4 linked regions of the Arabidopsis thaliana genome follow. The protein of the gene in region 1 purifies or fractionates together with the protein of each later gene. This does not show direct contact. Each region holds a gene or a part of one and is shown in the gene's direction. Other genes may lie near its edges. The genes, in order: PPR40, AT5G13430, AT5G25450 and AT2G07727.

The links.
Region 2: the proteins of PPR40 (region 1) and AT5G13430 fractionate together in Arabidopsis thaliana (co-fractionation; one study listed by BioGRID). This does not show direct contact.
Region 3: the proteins of PPR40 (region 1) and AT5G25450 fractionate together in Arabidopsis thaliana (co-fractionation; one study listed by BioGRID). This does not show direct contact.
Region 4: the proteins of PPR40 (region 1) and AT2G07727 fractionate together in Arabidopsis thaliana (co-fractionation; one study listed by BioGRID). This does not show direct contact.

What each region holds. Positions count from the first base shown.
Region 1 is NC_003074.8:5,767,373-5,772,141, reverse strand, and holds PPR40 (pentatricopeptide (PPR) domain protein 40), read left to right. Parts: upstream 1-1,705; 5' UTR 1,706-1,761; coding exon 1,762-3,741; 3' UTR 3,742-4,165; downstream 4,166-4,769. Other genes in the region: AT3G16900 (LURP-one-like protein (DUF567)), read right to left, coding at 1-36; AT3G16895 (Cysteine-rich protein), read left to right, coding at 626-710, 954-1,120; AT3G16880 (F-box and associated interaction domains-containing protein), read right to left, coding at 4,312-4,769. UniProt on the Arabidopsis thaliana protein: Required for the ubiquinol-cytochrome c oxidoreductase activity of mitochondrial complex III.
Region 2 is NC_003076.8:4,304,453-4,309,400, reverse strand, and holds AT5G13430 (Ubiquinol-cytochrome C reductase iron-sulfur subunit), read left to right. Parts: upstream 1-1,830; 5' UTR 1,831-2,001; coding exon 2,002-2,176; intron 2,177-3,343; coding exon 3,344-3,987; 3' UTR 3,988-4,295; downstream 4,296-4,948. Other genes in the region: AT5G13440 (Ubiquinol-cytochrome C reductase iron-sulfur subunit), read left to right, coding at 327-970. UniProt on the Arabidopsis thaliana protein: Component of the ubiquinol-cytochrome c oxidoreductase, a multisubunit transmembrane complex that is part of the mitochondrial electron transport chain which drives oxidative phosphorylation.
Region 3 is NC_003076.8:8,854,908-8,858,976, forward strand, and holds AT5G25450 (Cytochrome bd ubiquinol oxidase, 14kDa subunit), read left to right. Parts: upstream 1-2,009; 5' UTR 2,010-2,128; coding exon 2,129-2,222; intron 2,223-2,303; coding exon 2,304-2,461; coding exon of another isoform or gene 2,462-2,479; exon of another isoform or gene 2,480-2,741; coding exon 2,742-2,789; intron 2,790-2,873; coding exon 2,874-2,942; 3' UTR 2,943-3,569; downstream 3,570-4,069. Other genes in the region: AT5G25440 (Protein kinase superfamily protein), read right to left, coding at 68-348, 445-571, 654-796, 1,152-1,287, 1,413-1,666, 1,758-1,815. UniProt on the Arabidopsis thaliana protein: Component of the ubiquinol-cytochrome c oxidoreductase, a multisubunit transmembrane complex that is part of the mitochondrial electron transport chain which drives oxidative phosphorylation.
Region 4 is NC_003071.7:3,447,751-3,453,384, forward strand, and holds AT2G07727 (cytochrome b), read left to right. Parts: upstream 1-1,783; 5' UTR 1,784-3,112; coding exon 3,113-4,294; 3' UTR 4,295-5,026; downstream 5,027-5,634. Other genes in the region: AT2G07725 (Ribosomal L5P family protein), read left to right, coding at 652-1,209. UniProt on the Arabidopsis thaliana protein: Component of the ubiquinol-cytochrome c oxidoreductase, a multisubunit transmembrane complex that is part of the mitochondrial electron transport chain which drives oxidative phosphorylation.

The sequences.
Region 1 (4,769 bases):
CATCGTGTTGCTGCTAGTGGGATCTTGTTTTGCCATTGTTGTTTGTTTCAAAGAAGATGATTAAAAAAAAAACAAGACATTTATCAACTTTCAACTTATTGATCTTTTTGGTCATCATGACTTTTTCCTAATTTATTATGAAACTAAAAAATATTTATTAACAAAAACAATAATGACTTTACAGATAATATTTAATTTTCCTTTCAATTTGTTTTGTCAATATCAATTTTGAAATCAGTTAAAATTTATAATATACCTAATTATAAAAAAAAAATTTCCAATATTGAATTATGAAATTAAAATCTCGCATTTAACTTGAGATATTGATTGAACATAATGACAACATATCCAACAAATTACCTTTGACCATATTCACAAGTGTCACACACTTTTTTCAATTTTTAAGTTCTCATTTAGGATTATTAATTGTAAATAATTATATATTCATAAATGTAAATGATTTTTTTTGCCAAAAATAAAAAACTTTGAGAAACAAAAATGGATCATCAATTAATTGTAATAAAACAAACTGAAGACCAAAAGTTATATATAAATAGTCAATCCTTAAGATCCTAAACAATAAAAACATTTGAATACCTCAAAAGAGTTCATAGAAAAATTTATTATGGGTAGTACGAAAACTTTGGTGACATGTTTCCTTGTAATAATACTTGCAGTTTCGTTGCCTAACAACAACGTTTTGGCTTCAGGTATTTTCAAAGTTTGGTTTAGCTATTTTGCAATTTAGTAGTGATCATTTCAAAGGCTATATATCTAAATATTTGGAATTCGTTATGATCACGTTTTTGTTTATATATATATTATACATGAATTCAAAAGTTTCGTTAAAAACTTTTATTTGGACATGTTATATAACTATTTTTTATTGGAATGATATAAAATTTACACATGTTGGTATTGATGATGTTTGATATATATGTGGACTTGTGTAGATGCAAGGATCGAAGGCTTCTCTTTTGACAACTGCAATATTAGGTGTTCCGAAGATTACTGGAATGATGAATGTAATAAGGACTGTCTTAGAGCTGGCTTTCAAAAAGGTGGACAGTGTGGTTCTCCTTGTATTCCATGTCCAGTGAAATGTTGTTGTCAAAAGTAATACAAACTTATAAATCCATTTTCTCTCAAAATTGATGATTCTAGCGTTGCCTTTATTTTCTCTAAGTTATTGGACTTGATTTGTATCTTATTCTTATAAATAAATGCAATGATATAAGAAAACTATATATATTGCAATAGTAATTTTTATAACATATTATTAATCATACATAAATAGCATAATAATGACTTCATCACAACTCTTTTTATTACATCTCTCATTAGCAATAACTTAATATTATCATAATATATTTTTGAAGATGAAGATGGAAATATTTAGTCAATGCTACAATTTAAGATAGAAATTAGAAAATTATCACTTAGAAATATAATTATTACAAGAAAATTAAAATTCATAGTAATCAAGAGATGGATAAACTATAATGAAAACCCTCATTTTCATGGTGGCAATGGAAGAGTCATTAGGATCAACCAAAATTCTTTTGTTTTTGTTTGTTTCAAAGGAGATGATCTTTTTGGTCATGACTTTTTCTTAATTTATTCTGAAACTAAAAAAAAAATTATTAAATTCGAACACATATTGATATTGGTGTATTAAACAGCGTCGTTTAGGAAACATCGTCTTGAGGTTAGAGACCAAATCAATGTTTCACTTGCACTCAGCTCCGTTCTGGTCACGACATGAGAGGCTTTGCTTCTTCAGCATCTAGAATAGCGACGGCGGCAGCAGCTTCCAAATCACTAAACGCTTCCACATCCGTAAACCCTAAGCTCTCAAAAACCCTAAACTCTTCAGGTAAACCCACCAATCCTCTGAACCAGCGTTACATTTCGCAAGTCATAGAGAGAAAAGATTGGTTTTTGATACTGAATCAAGAATTCACCACTCATCGAATTGGTCTCAACACTCGATTCGTCATCAGCGTTTTGCAGAATCAAGACAACCCATTACACTCCCTGCGATTTTACCTCTGGGTCTCCAACTTCGACCCGGTTTACGCTAAGGATCAGTCTCTGAAGAGTGTTCTAGGGAACGCACTTTTTCGTAAAGGCCCCTTATTGTTGTCTATGGAATTGCTTAAAGAGATTAGAGATTCAGGGTATCGGATTAGTGATGAATTGATGTGTGTTTTGATCGGAAGCTGGGGAAGATTAGGTTTAGCTAAGTACTGTAATGATGTTTTTGCTCAGATATCTTTTCTTGGAATGAAACCAAGTACAAGGCTTTATAATGCTGTGATTGATGCGTTGGTGAAGTCTAATTCACTTGATTTGGCTTACCTCAAGTTTCAGCAGATGCGTAGTGATGGCTGTAAACCGGATCGGTTTACCTATAATATACTTATACATGGTGTTTGCAAGAAGGGTGTGGTTGATGAAGCTATTCGATTGGTTAAACAGATGGAACAGGAAGGGAATAGACCCAATGTGTTCACATACACGATTTTGATCGACGGGTTTTTGATAGCAGGGAGGGTTGATGAGGCGTTGAAGCAATTGGAGATGATGCGGGTGAGAAAGTTGAATCCTAATGAAGCTACAATCAGAACTTTCGTACACGGGATTTTCCGTTGCTTGCCGCCGTGTAAAGCGTTTGAGGTTTTGGTTGGGTTTATGGAGAAAGACTCAAACTTGCAAAGAGTTGGTTACGATGCTGTGTTGTATTGTCTTTCAAACAACTCAATGGCTAAAGAGACTGGTCAATTCTTGAGGAAGATAGGTGAGAGAGGTTATATTCCGGATAGCTCAACATTCAATGCTGCGATGAGTTGTCTCCTAAAAGGGCATGATCTTGTTGAGACTTGTAGGATATTTGACGGTTTTGTCAGCCGTGGAGTTAAGCCAGGATTCAATGGTTATCTTGTGTTAGTTCAAGCTCTGTTGAATGCTCAGAGGTTCTCTGAAGGTGACCGGTATCTGAAACAAATGGGTGTTGACGGGCTTCTATCAAGTGTATATAGTTATAATGCGGTAATTGACTGTCTCTGCAAGGCTCGACGCATAGAGAATGCAGCTATGTTCTTAACAGAGATGCAGGATAGAGGTATTTCTCCGAATCTCGTAACTTTCAATACCTTTCTGAGCGGTTATAGCGTGAGGGGTGATGTAAAGAAGGTTCACGGCGTGCTAGAGAAGCTTCTTGTACATGGTTTCAAACCAGACGTGATCACTTTCAGTTTGATCATAAACTGTCTTTGCAGAGCAAAAGAAATTAAAGATGCATTTGACTGTTTCAAGGAGATGTTGGAATGGGGTATTGAGCCAAACGAGATCACATACAATATCTTGATTCGCTCCTGTTGTTCCACCGGAGATACCGATAGATCAGTGAAGCTGTTTGCGAAGATGAAGGAAAACGGGTTAAGTCCAGACCTTTATGCGTACAATGCGACTATTCAGAGTTTTTGCAAGATGAGAAAGGTTAAGAAGGCTGAGGAATTGCTTAAAACAATGCTGAGAATTGGTTTGAAACCAGATAACTTTACATATAGCACTCTCATCAAAGCTCTAAGTGAATCTGGAAGAGAGAGTGAAGCAAGAGAGATGTTCAGTTCAATCGAAAGACATGGATGTGTTCCAGATTCATATACTAAGCGTCTTGTTGAAGAACTTGACCTAAGAAAAAGTGGACTCTCGAGAGAAACCGTGTCAGCCTCATAGAAATTGAATCCTCGAGAGTGTGAATATCCTATGAAGGCTTAGAAACCGGAAAAGTGGGTTCGTTTCATTTGGAAATGTCTGAGAAAGAACCCGATCTTTGCCACGGGTTGCCTCTTTGATGCAGACGGAAGAGAAACAGAACATGAGTGCAAAATGCAGAACAGAGTATTAAGTTTTGTTCTTTTGATTGATCAAAGCTTTTATATATTTCTGAGTCCGAGAAAGTGGCGGCAATAGTAATGGCAGTTGGTTGGTACTTGACAGTCAAAAGGCAAAAGATTTTGTATGTTTAGCACTAGATAGCCTTGGCCCTAATTTATACCCTTACCGTGTAACAGTTTAGGAAACAACAGTTTTGCCAGATTATATTGGACATGAGTATTGAATGATTTTGTTGTTTCGATCTCAAACTAGTATGCTTAACAATCTTTTTTTCAACGTAAGAGATGAGAAACGAACTAAGAATAGACCAATATTGTTCAGGAATCAGGAAGCTGAGAAAAGAAGACAAAGCAAGAGTAGTAGTAATTAAACAATGCAAGAACCAAATATTTGGGTATTGTAAATGGACTAGTTGCTTTTGCCTTTTGCCAGTTGCTTGATTTCCACTGAACTTGGTACATAAGAGCACCTAACAGGAAAACTTTCAGAATCTCCGAGATCCACTTTTCTGAAGTATCCATTCTCTCCAATGATGTAAGCTGTGATACGGTTTCTCATCTCTTTGTCCTTATCAAAAACCACAACTACTTTCTTCTCCTCGTCAATGAAGAAAATTCCATCATCAATAATGAGTGGTTTCATGTCCACTGTTAAGAACAACTTTCCCCACGACACATTGTTGGGCTCAATCTTGTTAGTAATCCATATCTCCATCCTTGATATATTGCAGCGGTGAAGTAACACTGCAAGTTTCTCTTCTCTAACACTAGAGAGAGCCACAATATCTCCACAACGAGAGTGGAACGGCAGAGGCAGAGTCGGTCCAAATCTCTCTGTTGTAAAATCAAAAGAAATCAAGAAGTCAC
Region 2 (4,948 bases), on another chromosome or scaffold:
TCTTAGGAGTTTTCTTATGTTTTAAGCATTTATGATCATTGAAGTTCCTTCCTTGGATCTTGCGTTAGATAGATTAGTTTAGTTTTCACTGAATTTGATATCATGGTAGAAAATTGTTTGGATGACACCTTCTGTTATCTCTTGGAATCCGTTTTTATAATCTTATGTTATTCTATGCATTAATGTTAAATGTTTGCTAGTGTTATTCCTTTCTTCTGTGTTATCTCTTGAAAATATTTTTGCTTAATACTTGGTGTTGTTGAACACTTGACCAAGTATAAAGTTTGCCCTTGATGTGAAATATTAATGTTTCATGCTATTTTCAGGTTTTGCTTCTCAAGTCATTACTCAGGGAAATGAGATAGGTTTTGGTTCGGAAGTCCCAGCCACAGTCGAAGCTGTCAAAACACCTAACTCAAAGATTGTCTATGACGACCATAACCATGAGCGTTACCCACCTGGTGACCCTAGCAAGCGGGCATTCGCCTATTTTGTCTTGTCGGGTGGAAGGTTTGTTTATGCCTCTGTTCTCCGCCTGCTTGTTCTGAAGCTTATTGTGAGCATGTCTGCAAGTAAAGATGTCCTTGCCCTTGCATCCCTCGAGGTTGACCTAGGGAGCATAGAACCAGGAACTACCGTGACAGTCAAGTGGCGTGGAAAGCCCGTCTTCATCAGGCGAAGAACAGAAGATGACATCAAGCTGGCCAATAGTGTGGATGTTGGATCCCTGAGGGACCCACAAGAAGACTCGGTTAGAGTCAAGAATCCAGAATGGTTGATCGTGGTTGGAGTATGCACTCATTTGGGGTGCATCCCCTTGCCTAATGCTGGTGATTATGGTGGTTGGTTTTGTCCGTGTCACGGATCACATTACGATATATCTGGAAGAATTAGGAAAGGTCCTGCACCATACAACCTGGAAGTACCGACCTACAGCTTCTTGGAAGAGAATAAATTACTCATTGGTTAATGAATAAAGCACAACAGTCCGAGTGTCATGGTCTGGATGATCTTAAATCTGTTTTTGTTTTTATATTTTCCGGCATTTTAGCGTGCAAGTTCGCTTTCCTCACACTTTGGGCTCAGCAAAAATTGGCTTGTTTTGCTGAATAATACAAACTTGTCATTGTATGACTTAGTATCTGTCTCATCTGGTGAAAATACATTGTTCATACTTCATAGTCTCTGTTTATTATTTGAAAAGAGTTTTGAATAGTATCATCCCTATTTTTCTTATGTTTGTAATTTTGTAACATATCGTTTGTAAGAGAGTTTCCTTTCCTTAAAGTCTGTAGCCATTATCACAATTGAGACAAAAACTTGGTAAGGTTCAAGGTGTGTTATAAAACTTTCGTGTTCTTACTGGAGACGACATTTCGAAGACCTTCAATTCTCAACTAAGCCATAAACCTTCTCTTCCATAGTGAGAAATCCAATTGTGAACCTCGAGACTACTACTTTGATGAAAGATGTCATATTCTGGTTGTGGATCTTAGCCTAATTTTCTTGTTCAGATTGTTTTCATCGATGACTACTTCTTTGATGATGTCCTTCTAGCTCTTTCTTCTAGTATTGAAAAGTTCACACAGATGTAAAACAGTCTTTTTGTTGGAAATCTTGTTTAAACATTACAACAACAAAATATATCCTTTACCAAGTATAGACCCCCTATTATTATTATTAAAAATTACGATTTTTATACAAATAAAATAATTTATCTTACAAATACACACACACAAAAAAATTATATCGTAAAACCAAAAGATTTTATTAATTAAAATTAGAAAAAAAACCATGCCATCAAAATCCTGAAGTAAAAAAATATCAAGTAATACGCAAAAACCAAAAAAAACAAAACAAATTGACCTTTTCTCAAAGACAATTTTTAAGGGACTTACTAGTAAGTAGTCTCTTATGTTTTGTTTTGCATCGGCCGTCCCAAACCTGAGGATTTCTCTGTTCAGCTAGAGCGAAACCCTAGATTCACATTTGAGCTGAGAGATGCTGCGTGTAGCAGGGAGGAGGCTTTTCTCTGTCTCGCAGAGATCTTCGACTGCGACCTCCTTCGTCGTCTCCCGTGACCATACCCTTTCCGATGGTGGCGGCGACTCCTCTTCAGCTCCCAGATCCCTCCCCTCTGCAGATCTCTCATCTTACCACCGTAGCCTTATCAGAGGTTTGCCGATTTATAACCCTTTCCCTCTCTCTCTACATTGATTTTTCATTTTCGGTGGTTCTTTGCAGTTTTATTTGATTGATTGATTTTTGAAAAGGTCTTCTTTTTTTGGTTGTATGATTCACGGGAATGATTGAGATTTCTAGTATTGTATCTGCAATGATCCGTGGGAACAAACGTGTCATCTGATTTGAATTCCATGAGCTTGATGTACCATTTGGCTACATTCTTCTCCTTGCTGGATTTGTATTGCATTTGATGATTACTTCTTTCGTGTGGATTGTTCAGTTCTGAGATAATCCTTTGTTTTACTAGGAAAGTTTCCTCTTTTCGGTGCGTTAATCATAGTATGATTCACCACTGGCTTCTTGGTTTTTGAAATTTGATCTTGTGTATCAATCCTTTTGAGTTCTTCATTGTTAGGGACATGGATGTTTTAACTGTATACTATGTTTGTAGGATTTATAGCTGTTTAAAGGCATGCTGAGGAACTTGCATTCTGAAATTTATGTTTTCTTAACCAAAGAGCTTTGTTTGTTCTTAGCATTGGAAATTTTGTTGTGTTTTAAGCGTTTCTGTAATATACAGCATCTGATCAATATATTTTTTTCTCTTGGTTTATTACGTTGGTTTTAGTATTTAAGGTTTCACTGAATTTGTTATTATTGATTTGTTTGGATGAATTTGGTATACTTGGCTTCTCTGATTCATTCTTTCGTCCAGAAGGAAATGAACATTTGAGTTTATTGATGGATTATGGATTGACCTGTTTAGATGTAATTCTTTGGTTGATGACTAAAGCTCCTTGCTTGTAAATCATTGGAATGCGTTATCCATAGTGTGATTCACATTGGCTTCTAGATTCCAATTTTTTGTTCTTCTGTTTCCATGTTGATCATTGAATTTGTTCTCTTGTTTTTTTTATGGAGATTATCGTATTTAAGTTTCCACTCCCCGAGTTTGATACGATGGTTTGAATTGTTTGGATGGATCTCATACTTCATGGAATCCGTTTTATGTACTTTTGTTTTTCCTTAGAAGATTATACATCAATGGTCACATCTTGATTGTGGTAGTCCTGTGGCTTATTCTTATTCTTGTAGAACACTTGACCAAGTATAAAGTTTGCCTTTGATGTGAAATATTAATGTTTCATGCTATTTTCAGGCTTCTCTTCTCAAGTCCTTGCTCAAGGAAATGAGATAGGTTTTGGTTCAGAAGTCCCAGCCACAGTCGAAGCTGTCAAAACGCCTAACTCAAAGATTGTCTATGATGACCATAACCATGAGCGTTACCCACCTGGTGACCCTAGCAAGCGTGCATTCGCCTATTTTGTCTTGTCGGGTGGGAGGTTTGTTTATGCCTCTGTCCTCCGCCTGCTTGTTTTGAAGCTTATTGTGAGCATGTCTGCAAGTAAAGATGTCCTTGCCCTTGCATCCCTTGAGGTTGACCTAGGGAGCATAGAACCAGGAACTACCGTGACAGTCAAGTGGCGTGGAAAGCCCGTCTTCATCAGGCGAAGAACAGAAGATGACATCAAGCTGGCCAATAGTGTGGATGTTGGATCCCTGAGGGACCCACAAGAAGACTCGGTTAGGGTCAAGAATCCAGAATGGTTAGTGGTTGTTGGAGTGTGCACTCATTTGGGGTGCATCCCCTTGCCTAATGCTGGTGATTATGGTGGTTGGTTTTGTCCGTGTCACGGATCACATTACGATATATCTGGAAGAATTAGGAAAGGTCCTGCACCATACAACCTGGAAGTACCAACCTACAGCTTCCTGGAAGAGAATAAGTTACTCATCGGTTGATTAATAAAAGCACAACAGTCAAGAGTCTGGATCTGAATGATGATCTTCACTTGTTCTTTTTTTCTTTTAATTAATATTTTCCGGCATGTTAGAGCAAGATTGACTTGTTTTTGCTGAATAATACAAACTTGTGATTTTTGTTTGAAGTATACTCAATCTTCGTTTATCCATCGCTAGTAAAAGACGACTATGTTCATAGTCTGTGTTTATTATTTAACATGCCTATTTGTCCTATGTATGAGTGAGATTCCTTTCGTATCTCATAATTCTAAACATCGTCATTCCAATTAAAAAGTTGTATTTACATTTGAGTTTCGATAGTATCTCAACGTTCATAAAAGAAAAACTAAAGGTATGAGAAAAACCAACGTAGAAACAAACAACAAAAGGTAATATATCAGCTTTGATTGATAGTTTACAGGAAGATAACCGAATAAGTTCAAACTGTATTCGTAAGACATCCCGTGAATGAATATTCAATCATCCAAAAGTGGCATAGCTAGATTTTTTCTAGATTGGCTAAGAACACAAAAACATAATATTTTATTCTGTTTAATCTTTTTTAGTTAAGAAAAAATGTTTGACACACAAAAGCCAAAGTTTGATTTGGGTAAAAACCATTGTGGGAGATGAAAATGTTAAAATCTTGTTTGTTTTGGTCACCAACAACGGCCATGAACTATATGGGAAGTGACTTATCTCTTGTAAGTTGTTTTCCTTTTGGGATATGGGAAGTGACTTCTCCGACCCTTGCAAACTAACAACGGCCATTACACACTAATTACAAGCCAAAGGTCCTCACTAAGCAACCTCTCGTGTTTATCATAAGACACCGCTCTATCTCTTATTATTTTATTCATTGTTTTCTAATTTCAGACTGATTAATCATACATTAGAGAAAGTTTATTAAAACCATCTGATGTAAAAAATCACATTTATCTAAATTAAATAAATTTGTTAT
Region 3 (4,069 bases), on another chromosome or scaffold:
ACTATGTTATAACTGTCTTATAGTGAAACAATGTTTTCAGCATTAGTAACCCTTATATAGTTTCTCCTCAAATCTGAGCTATAGCATTCAGATTATCTAGCACTTCTTGCATGGTTGGTCGCATCTTCGGGTCTACCTCTAGGCATTGTTTAATAAGCTCGCACATAAGTCTTCCCGCTTCAAGTGGATAGCTATTCTTCAAATCTGGATCGATCATCTCCACAATGTTGTACTTTTTATTTTTTATTTCTCGCTTTGCTGAGATTGTGAGGTCTTTTCCTAAACCAGTTAACATTTTAAGTAGTATAACACCAAAGCTATACACATCGCCCGCCATGTTCGACATCCCTTCATTTGATTAGTGCAATCAATTAAGGTTAGTCTCTTTGAATTTAATGGTCACTTTTAACTTTAAGATATAAGGAAGAAGCAGAAGATTGTTGCCTGAGAGTATGTATTCGGGAGGTGGGTATTGATATCTAGGTGCTACATTTGAAAACCCGATGGTGTATACCAATTCATCGAGAGAAACTTTTGGCTTTCCAAAATAGGAAACTCTTGCGTTGAAGTCCTGCATATCCCATAAATGTCACTTTAAAGGTAAGGAGCAAGTATTCAAGAAAAAAAACAAAAAAGGCAAGGTGAATACAAACCGAGTCGAGCAGGATTTTCGAAGCAGTGAGATATCTGCGGTATAGACCGGCTTGCTTCCTAGAGTGCAAGAAGGCAAGACACTGAGCCGCTCCTATGGATATCTTAAGTCGTGTCTCCCACGGCAATGACTTTGGACGACTATCTATGATATTATATAAACCATTAAATCCAAAAGGAAGATGAATTACTATTGGATCTAAGGTTAAGATCGTAAACTCGTGAGAGCTCCAGAAATCAATTTGAGCAACTCTCTTTATTCCCTCTCTATGATATTAAATTATCTAGGAATCATTTAGCTTGGTGTTCTTCAATTAGTATATTTTCCTCACTTCCACTAAATAAAGCTCTAATGAGCTATCTCAATTTTTAGATCTAGTTTTAAAGCTCTTATTAAGAGCTCTTACCTTTGGGTCTTGCTCGAGCAAGATTCTTCTTGCTTTGAGTCTACTCACAAGATATAATGACGAAAAGGAGATGAATAAACTTAACTTCCTTACCTCTACTGATGTAACTTCCTAAGCTTCCATTTGGAAAGTATTCAGAAACAATAAACAACATATCACGATCATAACAGTAGCCAATTAGCTTCACCAAGCTTGGATGAGAGTTATGTCGTAGAAACTCTACGTCAACCTACAAAAATATCATCTCTAATGTTAAGACACACTGACCCATCTCTAGGGGTAGGCAACATAGACATTTACCATCCAAAAACATCAAAAAATTTAGAAGAATAAATAAGTAACAAGAAACTTAACAATATTATTGGTTTTGCCGAAGGTTCTCCTATAGATTGAGATGATATAATTACTTACAAGCCAATCTTGAAAAGCTTGTTCATTGGCTAAGTAAATTTTCTTGACCGCGACGGCCATGCCAACACCTTTCTTGGCCGGAGATAACGTTTTGGGATTGATGTATCCCAAGCTCTCTCCTAGTTCCATCTGGTTTCCGAAATCATTAGTCGCTTTCTTCAGATCTGCCACCGTGAAGACTTTCACACCCTCCTCCACTATACATATATTATAACAAAACTTATATCCATTATAGTAACATTCAAATCAAAAGTACTTAAATCCGCAGAGAAATATATATATGTATACCTGATTTGGGAGCATTTGGTTCGGTGGGAAGTGTCGAAGCTGAGAGACAATTTCCCATTCGGATACTCTCTGCTAAATCTTAACACTAGAGTTCAATGAAGAAGAGAGGACTTTTAGTTTTTCACACCGAGGAGCAAAGTCAACGAAAACGCGTTTGAGAGTCAACGGTTGACGCGTTTTATTTGGTGAGTCATACGACGCCGTTTTTTGATAAGAGTACATACTACGCCGTTTGGCTAGAGTTTCATACGACGGCGTTTAAACAGATGTCTCTGGATGCTTCTTCCTTCTTCGTTCCCGGGTTAAATTACAAATAGCGGCGAAGGGGTTTCATCACAATTCACATCTTCAACGTTACTCCGAAGAAGATAATGGCGTCGTTTCTCCAGAGACTAGTAGATCCCAGGAAGAATTTCTTAGCTCGTATGCATATGAAGTCTGTTTCTAATCGCCTCCGCAGATACGGTACTCTTTCTTTCTCTCTTACCCTAGAAACCAAACCCTAATTCTCTTCTGGCTGATTTTGGGAATTTTACGATTTTTTAGGTCTTAGATACGACGATCTTTATGATCCTTTGTATGATTTGGATATTAAAGAAGCTCTTAATCGTTTACCGAGAGAGATTGTTGATGCTCGGAACCAGCGTCTTATGCGTGCAATGGATCTTTCTATGAAACATGAATACCTCCCAGATAATCTTCAGGTATGTTTTAGTCTCTAAGTAAGTGACAACAGAGCTAAAACGGTATATAGCTATGGAGTTTGTAGATAGAGCTTGCAAGATTTGACTTAAGACTTGTATTAGGATCAAGAACACTCTGTTTTCAGAAACCTGTTTTGGTTCTGTAATATAATTGTAACTTGATAAGCTTTGTAAGATCTTGTCTATGAAAGAAGTTTTTTTTGAGATAGTGCTTGTTAGTTGTGAGATAGGAAGCTTATGTAAATCTTTTTTTCTTTTCCTTGTCTCTGTAATTCCACAGGCAGTGCAGACTCCATTCAGGAGCTACCTCCAAGACATGTTGGCTCTTGTAAGAACAAAAACAGTTTTATCTATCTTGTAGTGATAGAAGAATCATATAGCAAAGTTCTAACACACGACACTTCATGTGCAGGTGAAGCGGGAGAGAGCTGAGAGAGAGGCTTTGGGAGCTTTACCTCTCTACCAAAGAACCATTCCTTAAGCATGTTAGTCTCTCTTGTGCTTATAGTAGGGTCACTGTTTTAGTACTCTTTAGGCTTCAATACCGCACAATTTGCTTTTGTATGGTTATGCATGGATATGTGAACCTTATGTATAAGATTTTATGAGATTGAATTGGATGTGTAATGTAAGCTTGATTGAGCTATTACAGAAATATGAGTAAAATATCCCACACCGGTAGGAGGAGAGTAAATCATGCTACATAAAGACATAAAGGCACACAAACCCTTAAGCTAGCTTTTGGAAATGTTTTCACAGTTCCTCATAGGAGCTCTGAAGAGAGGCGTGTAACCTCTGAACCACAATCCTTTATAACCCTTAGTTTGTCCTCTCAAATATGGGCTATAGCATTCAAATTATCTAGCACTTGTTGCATGGATGGTCTTTCCTTGGGATCTCTTTCAAGGCAGTTTTATGAGCTTGCACATACGCATCCCCTCTTCAACACGATAGCTATTCTCTAAATCTGGATCGATCATTTCCACAATGTTTTCTTTTCTATTCTCTGTTGCTTCCTCTGCTAAGATGATGCACGGGTTTCCCAAACCAGTTAAGATCTCAAATAGTATAACACCGAAGCTGTATACATCGCCCGCCATGTGTGATCTCCCTGTATATGCGTATTACCGTGCAATCAGTTTTAGGTTAGTGTATGAATTTTAATGGTCATTCTGTAGCTTGAGAGAGGACTTACCTGAGAATATGTATTCAGGAGGTTCGTAGTAAATTCTAAGAAATGCGCTCAATACAATTTTCTAGCTTGCTTACTCCTATAAATGTAACGCTCTAAGCTTCCGTTTGGAAAGTATTCAGAAACAATGAACAACAATTATCATCCGAACCGTAACCAATGAGCTTGACCAAGCTTGGATGCAGGTTATGTCGTAGAAACTCTAGGTCAACCTACAAACCTCGGCTGCCGTGTTAAGCATACATATATGAGTGATCAGTCTCTCTCGTAGAGGTTAATTTCTTACAAATCACTTTTGCAAGGCTTCTTCATAGGTTAAGTAAAATCTCTTAACGGCGATGGCCATGCCAACACCTTCCTTAGATGGAGATAACGTCTTGGGATTGATGTGTCTCCTCACACAGATTCATATATAC
Region 4 (5,634 bases), on another chromosome or scaffold:
TGGATGTTTGGAGCTCAATCCATCGAATTCACTCGCTTCTTTGCGCTGCGTTGTAGCTCTTAGATTATTGGGAGGAGGTCATTTCGAATGTTTTGTAATTTGGAATCGTTTTTTCTTCAAGGCACGGCTTCTTGAATCGTCTTTGTCTTGTAGAATGGTTGTCATCTGGAATCTAACTAAATAGTTAGTTAAGAAGACGCGTGCTTTGTTTGGTTTTGATCTGGAATTTCACTATAAGATAAGATAAGAGTGAAGTGCTTTGTTTGGGCAATCTGCCTCCCTAAATCTAGTGGAGGTCCCGGTCCCGCCGCTCCTGTTTGTAATGGGGCCGCTTTGTGCCAAATGTGTAAGTTGTTTTTTCAATCCGTTCTAACTGTAATAAGAGAAGAGGGAAGTCCGTCTAAAGAAATTAGTGAAGGAAAGTTATATGGATGTTCATTAGTTCAGTAAAGTGTTAGTAATGTTGCTGGGAGTAACCCTTTGATCTGATCTGTCTTTGTACGTGTTATCTTGCGAGGCTGTCAGGTTGGCTTGTGAGGATGGGGAGAAAGCGGGCCGAGAATCTTATGTCAAAAGGACCAAGGATGATCTTTTCGGAAAGGAGGAGTAGGAGGAGTCAGCTTATTCTATAGATACTGTAAAAGCCAACTCATGTTTCCACTCAATTTTCATTACGAAGATGTATCACGTCAAGATCCGTTGCTCAAACCGAATCACGCCAACGTTATGGAAGTTCCTGGATCGTGTGAAATAAGAGTAGTACCAAAGGCACCCTATAATTTCATAATAAAAAATGGAAAATTGGCTATGGAGATTCCGCGCGGTCAGAAATTCATACAGACACAAAGGGGTTCGACAGGAAAGTCCTTTCGATCTAATCCATTCTTGGGGTCAAATAAAGACAAAGGATATGTAAGTGACCTAGCACGACAAAGCACTCTCCGAGGGCATGGAATGTCTAATTTTTCGGTCAGAATCTCGACAGTAATGTCTCTATTAGATTTTCCGGTCGAAATACGGAAAAACTCCATTCAATTCTCGATGGAAACGGAGTTTTGCGAATTCTCCCCGGAACTGGAAGATCATTTCGAGATCTTCGAACATATTCGGGGGTTCAATGTGACTATTATCACTTCGGCCAACACACAAGATGAGACTTTACCACTGTGGAGCGGTTTTTTGCAAAAAGATGAGGGGGAAACTCAGTAAGATGTCGTAGAAGCAAAATAGTAGAGATCACAAACGTAGATTGCTCGCGGCTAAATTTGAATTGAGACGAAAGCTTTATAAAGCCTTTTGTAAAGATCCCGATCTTCCTAGTGATATGCGGGACAAACATTGTTATAAGTTGTCCAAGTTGCCAAGAAATAGTTCCTTTGCACGAGTCAGAAACCGATGTATTTCCACGGTCGCCCTCGTTCTGTATCTGAGTTCTTTCGAATTTCTCGTATCGTTTTTCGTGGATTAGCATCTCGAGGTTCTTTGATGGGCATAAATAAATCGTCTTGGTAGCAACCACCAAACCAATAGAACAAAGAAAGGTTAGCTCCGCAGCTGGTCCACAAGCAAGGTAAGTAAGCCCATTACCAGCCGGCTCCGGACCGAAAAGTAACGTATTTAAAACCCTTATCTTGGATCGGAGATGCGAACGGGGCGGGAATCGAAGTGGGGGACCTCTCTACCGCTTGTGTCTATTTCCTGTCAAGTATGCTCCCCATACATAGACTACGTACAGGTAGTACTCTTGGAAAGAAAGATATAATGCATGAACATAACATTAACTTACGAATGTAACTCCCGACCACTCTTCTAAATATACTAAGGCGGAGAACTCTTGTTCATTGGAGCGCCGTAGTGCGGAGGTTCTTCCCATCATGGAAGTCCGAGTTGGGACTGAGCCTTCCGAATGATAATGCTTTGTTTCGTTGGAAAAACCAACGCAAATCTCATATTGACTTTCTATCGCCCTACTTCTAAGGATAGATAGAGAGAGTTACTTTATGAAATTATCTCCCTTCTAAAGCAGCGCAAGTCGGCCCCCCCAGAACAAAGCCCCTACTCCCGAGAGGTATAAATGACTCGACTAAAAGGAGAGGTATTTATTACTCGAGCACTTGTTGCGAGAGGTCCAACGTAATTTATTACTCTTATAAAAGAGGGAACTCGACTGAAAGGAGAGGTTGTTTACATACTCGACTAAAAGGAGAGGTCCAAATGGACTTCTGTGAATTACAGTGATCCAGTCTCACGGATATGGAGCTTCGCCGGAGATGGCAGGGCAAAACCTGATGGACCTTTTTTTTTTTTTTCTCAAGAGGTGATTTCGAGAATCAACCAACCGACGAGACTAATTCGAGGATGTGTTAAAAGAGAGTCTAACCGCCAAGGCAAGTCCCATGGATAAGCCCCAGCCTCCCTCTCGTTTCACTCTCGTTCCTCTCCTTACAGTCGAGCTCCTTTGTTCCTTCGGACCTCTCGCCCAAATGAAATGGGATGAATCCAATCAATAAGCTTATTGATTGATTCAGAGCGCAGCGAAGCCAAATTCAATCAAGGCAAAGGGGGGCTTACTTTTCCTGACGCTGAGTCATCCTATTCAAATTTAGCTATGCTAATGTAACAGGAAAAGTTTTCACAGATGATATGGATCCCAAGAGATGAGCGAGAACCTCCAATTGCTTAAGGATCGCACTCCGCTATCCCGCTTGGTGGACGAGATCTTCTCTCGGGTCATCCATCCTGGGTTACTGAAGGGTTGTCCGACTGCTCGGTGACCGAATCAGAGAAGTTTTGACCGCTTTCTCTTCTCTCCAGCACTCTCGGACTGATCATCCAATCCATCTTGCTGCGACAAAGCAAGCTTAGGAATGAATCTAAGAAATTTAGGTCTCTGCCCGCTTGAAAGATTCTTCTTTCCTTTTCGGTGAAAGAGGGCAAAAGTGTGTAGGAGAAAGAATTCTAAAAACGTCGACGCTTAATTCGCCCCCTCCATCCTTCAAAAGTAAAAGAAAGGCTCAAATATCAATATTATATATATATTTGAGGATATTTTAGGGCCCTAGAACGCAAAAAAAAGGTGGGTGAACAAGAGTTGTCACGATAGGAAAGAGAAATGACTATAAGGAACCAACGATTCTCTCTTCTTAAACAACCTATATCCTCCACACTTAATCAGCATTTAGTAGATTATCCAACCCCGAGCAATCTTAGTTATTGGTGGGGGTTCGGTCCGTTAGCTGGTATTTGTTTAGTCATTCAGATAGTGACTGGCGTTTTTTTAGCTATGCATTACACACCTCATGTGGATTTAGCTTTCAACAGCGTAGAACACATTATGAGAGATGTTGAAGGGGGCTGGTTGCTCCGTTATATGCATGCTAATGGGGCAAGTATGTTTCTTATTGTGGTTTACCTTCATATTTTTCGTGGTCTATATCATGCGAGTTATAGCAGTCCTAGGGAATTTGTTTGGTGTCTTGGAGTTGTAATCTTCCTATTAATGATTGTGACAGCTTTTATAGGATATGTACTACCTTGGGGTCAGATGAGCTTTTGGGGAGCTACAGTAATTACAAGCTTAGCTAGCGCCATACCTGTAGTAGGAGATACCATAGTGACTTGGCTTTGGGGTGGTTTCTCCGTGGACAATGCCACCTTAAATCGTTTTTTTAGTCTTCATCATTTACTCCCCTTTATTTTAGTAGGCGCCAGTCTTCTTCATCTGGCCGCATTGCATCAATATGGATCAAATAATCCATTGGGTGTACATTCTGAGATGGATAAAATAGCTTTTTACCCTTATTTTTATGTCAAGGATCTAGTTGGTTGGGTAGCTTTTGCTATCTTTTTTTCTATTTGGATTTTTTATGCTCCTAATGTTTTGGGACATCCCGACAATTATATACCTGCTAATCCGATGTCCACCCCGCCTCATATTGTGCCGGAATGGTATTTCCTACCGATCCATGCCATTCTTCGTAGTATACCTGACAAAGCGGGAGGTGTAGCCGCAATAGCACCAGTTTTTATATGTCTCTTGGCTTTACCTTTTTTTAAAAGTATGTATGTGCGTAGTTCAAGTTTTCGACCGATTCACCAAGGAATGTTTTGGTTGCTTTTGGCGGATTGCTTACTACTAGGTTGGATCGGATGTCAACCTGTGGAGGCACCATTTGTTACTATTGGACAAATTTCTCCTTTGGTTTTCTTCTTGTTCTTTGCCATAACGCCCATTCTGGGACGAGTTGGAAGAGGAATTCCTAATTCTTACACGGATGAGACTGATCACACCTGATCAGTGAAAAATTCTGACACCAATCATTTACATATTACACCAAGAATTGACAAGCAGATAAGTTTTCTAGTTTGCTATGTTGATATAGCTTAGATAGGGAAAAGATAACTCCACTATAGAGTAGGGCTGTACTTCAAAAATCAAAAAGGGTCCCTCTCCCCCTTTTTTTATTAAAAAATCAAAAAAGAGGCCCCGCCCCCCAAGGCCTAAGGAAAAAACCTCTGATAAAGAAAGAAAAAATATAGAACTAACCTTTACACTATAACCATTAAGTCAAGTTATTAACAATCCTATACTAAGAGGAGAATTCGGATCAGCTCGGGCGGAAGAGGAGAGGCGAAGAAGAAGACAATAAGCACTCAGATTGGACCAACCTTTCATTTAAGGTTCGTCATTATCTTTTCAATCCTGACTAGAATCAGGCTTCTCTTGAAAAAAGGTAAGGAGTTATTCGATATAATATGGTATTAACCCTAGCGCCTAAGTCACCCCCGCAAGGTAGGAAGAAGATAAAGGAGAAAGTGAACGGAGGAAAAAAAGGCGATAAGCGAACCGGCGGGCGGTAAAAACCACAAAGAATTTATATAGAAAAATAGGTACTACCAATATGAAATTAAGAAAGACATATATACCTGAAACAAAATTCTGTAATGACTATGTGACCATGAAGGGAGTAGTTGATTCGCGTTCCAATTCATTGGCAAAATCCGGTATAAATATAATAATATAACGAGATCGTCGTCTTGACAAAGATGAATAGAAAGAGTGCTTTTTTTTTAATGGTAACAATTCTTATTGTTTTTTTTTCTTCGAAGGAAGATCTTTCTTTGACTAAAAAGGTTTCCATTTTTAATAGATTGTTTGTGGTTGTACCTTTACTGCAAGAATATAAATGACTCGCTATTCACTCGAGGTTTCTGGGTCATAATGTAGGAGAGATGGCCGAGTGGTTTAAGGCGTAGCATTGGAACTGCTATGTAGGCTTTTGTTTACCGAGGGTTCGAATCCCTCTCTTTCCGTACCTTTACCTAATTCACCAACGTTACCGACCGCGCAATACCAATCGAGACCTCTAAGACGAACTAAAGGGATGTCTCTAAGCAGCCAAGGCCAAGAGCAAGCAGGAGTGGTCCTATCCGCCCATTCATTTTTAAGTGACTTATAAGACGTGAGAGATACTCTAAAGTCATAACGGGGAAGGCCAGAGACTTCGTTCAAATGGGGGGAGGTTTTCTCTTCAATAAAATGAAAGGCAGGTATTTTTATACGAAAATTGAGAATTCAATAATAAATGTTCACTTGAGATTAGGTTCGCGAAGAAGAAGATCACAAATGAGATC